Linked DNA regions of Drosophila melanogaster. The protein of the gene in region 1 interacts with the protein of each later gene in a pairwise test. Each region holds a gene or a part of one and is shown in the gene's direction. Other genes may lie near its edges.

Region 1 (3,369 bases):
CAGCCTAGAATTGGCCCTGATGGACTTGGAGTAAAGAAAATAAATCCTTATTCTTTGTCTGTGCAAACGTGCGCGCATAACATACATAAATACGAGAGCTAATTAAACGTCTGCATACCGACATTTGATAGATTGTCGACGAAAATAAAAGTTGAATAAAACATATATGTAATTTTTTGATATTTTCCTAGGTAAAACAAATTATTGGGGGCTTTAGAGGCACAATGATATTTTTTATTTCCCTGTGCAAATATTCCAATTTTTCTTGTTTTTATGTTGGCTCGCATGACATTATTTGATTAAAAGTGACAATTGTAAGCCTTGTTGGTATTGGAGTAATACCAACCGAGCTCCTAATGCTTTTGTACACTATGTATGTAGATGTTGGCATCCTGGGTGTCAACAATTCTGATCATAATGCTCACTGGCAGCTAGTCCCTCAGATTGCATACTAAGCAGAAAACCAGCGTGCGTACATAATTGGCGTGCCCTTGTCGCGCCAGTTATCGATAACTATTTCCTGCACAGTTAAACTGGAACGCAGTACGGCCAAAACAAAAAACTCATCAGTATTCAGGAGGCTGGGGGAACTGAGCTCTTGTTGTTAGCGCAAGTGCCAACTCATTGGCTTAGCTGTAAGCGTTGGGTGCTGTAATTGCAGCACGCGCTGCTGCTTTTCCCGGGGGCTAGGAACTGATGCTCCAGTAAGCACCTGACAACGTTGGCTGGTAAAAAGCTTCTGGCTACAGAAATAGCGATGCACTTGCCACAACGCAGTCTGTGTCGTCCGTATTTGGGGTCGCCCCAAGCTCCCACCCACCCAGTCCTACCCCTTAGGCCTTCCAACGAACACTAAGGCACATTTGTTATAATTATTTTTAAAGTGCACATATTTAATCAAGTGTGGATTGGGCTGCTATGCAGTAGCACTATGTATGCATGTCAAACAACTAATTAGAGCCCATTTCTTTCCTTTAAGGAATTCTTAATTCAACAGAAACAATGGTTTCGAGTTTAAGGCAAATCAAATTTTAAATAATATAAACGATACTTTAAGAATGAATATTTAAATATTTTTTGAAATTCCAATAGAAATTGGCAAATAATAAATTCAAATTAAATCGAAGTATTCAACTTTCTGAGCGTAACAATTTTTTGCAGATTTTGGGAGTGGTAATCAACTCGGCTGGTAATCTGCTTTGATCAAGAATGTATGTACAAAGGATAAAGTTAAGGATCGCTACCTTCTGTATATATACTAAGCGACAGTAAACCAAGTGTGCAGTTACTCAAGGAAAATTTTGTAGGAGATTCTGTAAATAAAATCCCTGTGAAAAACCCACCAAAGTTCAATGCACGAATCTTGACGCAGTTGCTGCGGTTCATTATTATATTGGTGTTTTGGCTAATTAAGTCATAAAATGGGAAACCCCAGACACGCACACAAACAAACACAAAATCAACGAAAAATTAATTTAAAAAAAGTATTAGATATTAGAAACACCTCTACTAACACTAGTCATATTGTAAACAGTCCAAATAGTTAGCCGCTACTAAAATCGAATAAAATCAAATTAAATTTTCAAAGTATACATACCACGTTCAAAAAGTATCCTAAGTGAATTAAATTTTATTAAATGAATACGCTCTTTGAACTATTCAATTCCGAACTCAGCAAAGTTACGTTGTTCATGAGAACATTAATTACTGTCGGTTATTAACTTTTAAACGTTTAGTAGTAGGCTTCGAGAGCCCTTTCATGGGTAGAGTTTAGTTTGTTTATCCTTAAATGTATTTCCACCACCGTAATCTCAAGCAAACACAACAAAAACACGAGAATTTCAAGTACGGAAAGCAACACATTAGAAGGACCAATGTGGAACGTATCCTCGATCCTGGAAGGGCTAGAGCATGAGCAAGGAGTAAACGCGGACCTCCGCGGCAAGAACGTGTTCAACTTGTGCGTGACCTTCTTGTGGATATTTCTGTGCATCTACGTCCTGTCCAAGCTAACCCAACTCGTGGAGCTCTTTCTGTGCCAGCGGCTACTTGGCCAGAAGCAATGGTACGACGTCCGCACGATCAAAAACGAGTGGGAGCAGACCCTCCAGCTTTATGAGGACGATAAAAGCCAGCTGGACGCACAGGTGCGCGAGTTGCGAGAAAAGAACCTGAGTATGGAGCGCTTGATGGTGGACCTGCGAGACTACAACATCCACTTGATCAGCGAAAACTATATGCTGTCCGTGATGCACGAACAGGTTAACAAAACAAACACAAAACAACCAACATATTTGAGAATCTATTGATCTTAAAATCGCGCGCAATATTATTTTCCATTCAAAGACACTGTTACACTGCTAGCCATGTTATGTAAAGATCTAATTGACCTCGAGACATGTAAAGTGTATTAACAATTCATTGTTCTTTGCTCAGAAACCAAGGCCGGCCGAGCCGAACATCTACATCACCAACAGCCACTTCCATCTCACTCGCCAGATGTTTCTGAACGATAGTCAAATCAATCTGAACGTCCATGACCATGGCGAGAAAGGAGCTTCCGGGGAGGGCAAAAATGTCTGGCTGCAGTATCTAAGGATGCGCAAGTGCTATATGAGCCCGATTGCCGATCCGAATTCGATAGATCCCAGCAGCACCACCAAGCAGATTCTCCCAATTGTTATGAGCACCGAGCAGTTGGCCGAATTGCAAGGTGAGTAAAGTAACAATTTGTGAGATGTTAATAATCGTTGTCTTTTTCTTAGGCATGATCTAGTTAGTTTTAAGTTATATGCAAACATAAATCTCGATTGTTGTATTGATCGCAAAGAAAAAAGCTCAAACAAATATATTTAAATTAATTGCTCTACTTTTCCATTGTTTTTAAACGGAAATAGCGCAAACCTCGGTCAAAACATTTGTCACTATCCTTGCAGTTAAGATAATTATGTTATTCTCACATGTTTGTTTTTCGATTTGAAACGTAGAATCTGTAGAATGATTACTGTTTGTAGCCTTTAAGCTGGAAATAAAAATTAGCTTAGTAATGTTATTTATTTCAATTCGATTCATATTCCAAATTCAATTTTAGCTCAGTGCTTTGGACCACAGATAATCGGTTTTATTTGCCTAACTACCTACCACCTACCGCCTCCCAATTTCCTAAACGCACCGCCCTCTCCTCCCTTCGATGGCCTTCGCGACAACATCTGGCGGAAACGAAACGAAAACAAAATGCAAAATATAGCTGTCTACCAGTCGGTCGTCTGTTTGTTCCAACTGCGACTGCTAAGACGATGACTTATCAAGGCAGAATTTAGCGATTGGTTCTTTAGCTTTCTTCTTCGTTCCCCCACTGTGCCAGAACTC
Region 2 (3,171 bases), about 14 Mb from region 1:
AAGATGCAGCTGTCTCGAGCGCGGAGCTCCTTTGCTCCTCTGCTCCTTTTGCTGCGTGGCCCTTGCATCTTCCAGGATGTGAACCCACTTCCCGGACTTTGTTTGTCTTGGAGAAGCGATTCACACCCCAGTGGTTTCGTCGAGAACGGCACCTAACTGGCAATGCTATGAACTTGGCAGCTGACTATGCTGCTCTCCATTTCGAACTAATTGATAAATGTATACTACTTAGTGGTTCTCTATACTGAAACGAACGTGGGAAACCTGGTCATTGTCGTTGGCAAGCTGCGGGATTCTGGTTCGTTCATTAATTTGTTGCAATTTCTTGGCGAAGTCAAAGTCTCGGCTCAGTTGCAGAAGATGCTTCGGTTATGCAATGGCTACGCCACCGACATCCCTTAACATTTTACGCATTTTTCCAGAAATTCCATTGTGTTGCTGCACGTGCCAAAATGTATTTGGGCGGGCTTTTGTTGGGGTGGGCGTGGCATCAAAGTGCATGCAAAATACGTGACATGCATATTGAAGTCACTTACTATTTATTTTTATTACGCAAAGCAGCCAGAACTTTTTACACATATTTTTTTTTTACTAGTTCTCCTTTTGTTGTGGCAACTTTTCCGGAAAGGTATCAGCGGCAACAGCTGAAAAAGAGGGAAAAATAGGGAAAGAAAACTACACCAGCTCCCCCTGACATGTTTAATAAATGGCAGTAGCTGTCAGAGGAAAGTCAGAGTTTTTTCTTGTTAACCTTCATTGAAACTTTACTGAAGTGAAGGTTCAATACTTATAATTTTTGCGTGGGCTCATTAAATTTCAAAAAGTTTGATATTCAATTACCATTAGGCAGAAATAATGCCAAATTTATGAAATCCATTAAATCTGATTTCGATTCGAACATCCGCATTATTTCACATTTCCATTGTGCATGTCGACCTGTGAATTATGCCTACTGCTTATCGACCCAGAAACATTTCATAGGACTAATTAGCGTCCAACGAAATCAAATTTCGCCCTAATAAACCCATAACAGCGATATCGTGTTTCGCGAAAATGCCAAATTTTCATAAAACCTCAAAAATTGATGGGCTGAGAAATAGGCAAAATGGCATCGCAATTATGCAGCAGGACTTGACAGGACTAGAAGCGACAGGCTGGGTCAGCCGAGGACACAGTTTAGCACCTAGCTATGACCATAAAAATTTGTAATTTTCCCCAACACATATTTCCTTTTTGGCAACCGTCCAAAGTATGCAGCGTGAAAAGAAAGAGGGCAAAAATAAGAAAAAAATTGTTCAGGCCGTAAATAACCAAAGTAAACAACGCGACAAGCGGTTTGGCGGAGCAGGAGGTCGCTGGAAAAGAGCAGACAAAGTCCCGGCCGCAAAAGCCAAAACTCACTGCGAATGTGAATATTCTTGGAATTTTCATTTGTTGTCTACAGTTGCATGGGGTTGCATAGTTAGGAATGTCTTTTCTCCAAAAAAAAAAAAAAAAAAAAAAAAAACTGTAGTCAAACCAAACCAAACCATTCCAAACTAAAACCCCCTTTTCCACCCACTGTCAACGCAATTTGTCGCTTTGTGTTGCTCCTGCCGCTGCAGTTGTCGCTTCATTTTTGCAACAAAAGTGTTGCAAAATATGTTGACAGGAAATGTTATGCGAATTTCACTGCGTATAAAATGAAATTTACGTGCAACTTTGCACAGTGTGTGTGTTTAGTTTTGCCGGAAAAGCTTTGGTGGCCGGCCTTTAAAAATTGTAAGAGTATATAATTGCCAATGAAAATCAATCATTGGATTCGAGCTCAATGCAAGCTGATTCAGTTCCGAGTTTTGAGACTCAATTAAATGCACGACAGATCGTACTTCCAACTGGCTCATATTGTGTACAGTAACCAGTTGATCGCAATTAACTAGCTAACTAGATACAGATAAGCTAGACGCCATAAATTAGCCACAAGCCAGTGTGTATAAAATTCAGAACCGCCTTTCTGCGAGTAACAGTTTATCGTGAGGTGCTACTGTGCTAGGAAAACCCATGTCCATATTTATCTTGAAACAGATTCTGCGAATCGTTAGATAATGCTTAAGCTATGGCTAATATGTATCTTGACTGTCAGCGTGGTCTCCATACAGGTAATCACATCTGAGGTCTGTTTCATATGGCAGTTAATTGGAAAGTATGGTTTTTATTATAGAGTCTCTCACTTCTGGAGGAAACCAATTACGTGTCAGATTGCCTGGCCAGCAATAACATCAGCCAGGCTGAATTCCAGGAACTCATCGATCGCAACAGCTCCGAAGAGGATGACCTCGAGAATACCGACAGAAGATACAAATGCTTCATCCATTGCCTAGCGGAGAAGGGAAATCTTTTGGATACCAATGGCTATTTGGATGTGGATAAAATTGATCAAATTGAGCCCGTGAGCGATGAACTGCGAGAGATACTCTACGATTGCAAGAAAATCTACGATGAGGAAGAAGATCATTGCGAATATGCGTTTAAGATGGTGACTTGTCTAACTGAAAGCTTCGAGCAGAGCGATGAGGTCACCGAAGCGGGTAAAAATACAAACAAATTAAACGAATAATCGGTCTAAAACTGGTCAAGCAACTTAATCGCAATTGTTTTATGCCAGCGGGAAATTCACAAGCAACTGTTTAGTTTCATTTCTACAATGTTCATCTACAGACTTGTATTTATTGCGCCTCTGATTTTGTTATTGTTCAGCTTGGCCAAGGTGGGATTGATATTTATATTTGACTAAGCTTTTGATTTATTTTCAACAAACTACAATATATAGGCTCGCCACCCCTTTGATATATTTCATTGGAATTGGCAAGACTTTCAGGAGTGTCTACAAGTTAATAATATTACCATAGGAGAATATGAGAAATACGCGCGACACGAAACTTTGGATTACCTGCTCAACGAGAAAGTCGACTTGAGGTACAAGTGCAATATTAAATGTCAGCTGGAAAGGGATTCAACGAAATGGTTGAATGCTCAAGGCAGAATGGATTTGGATTTGATGAATACGACCGATAAGGCATCCAAATCCATTACCAAGTGCATGGAGAAGGCTCCCGAAGAACTTTGTGCGTACAGTTTTAGACTGGTGATGTGTGCATTTAAGGCTGGCCATCCCGTAATTGATTCGGAATA

The links.
Region 2: the proteins of CG14589 (region 1) and Obp57c interact in a two-hybrid assay, tested with the Drosophila melanogaster proteins (one large-scale study listed by BioGRID).

Annotation. Positions count from the first base shown.
Region 1 is NT_033778.4:6,135,553-6,138,921, forward strand, and holds CG14589 (uncharacterized protein), read left to right. Parts: upstream 1-1,750; 5' UTR 1,751-1,874; coding exon 1,875-2,261; intron 2,262-2,436; coding exon 2,437-2,708; coding exon of another isoform or gene 2,709-2,713; intron 2,714-2,765; coding exon 2,766-2,856; 3' UTR 2,857-2,859; downstream 2,860-3,369.
Region 2 is NT_033778.4:20,501,583-20,504,753, forward strand, and holds Obp57c (Odorant-binding protein 57c), read left to right. Parts: upstream 1-2,001; 5' UTR 2,002-2,084; coding exon 2,085-2,138; intron 2,139-2,200; coding exon 2,201-2,596; 3' UTR 2,597-2,620; downstream 2,621-3,171. Other genes in the region: Obp57b (Odorant-binding protein 57b), read left to right, coding at 2,684-2,746, 2,810-3,171. UniProt on the Drosophila melanogaster protein: Present in the aqueous fluid surrounding olfactory sensory dendrites and are thought to aid in the capture and transport of hydrophobic odorants into and through this fluid.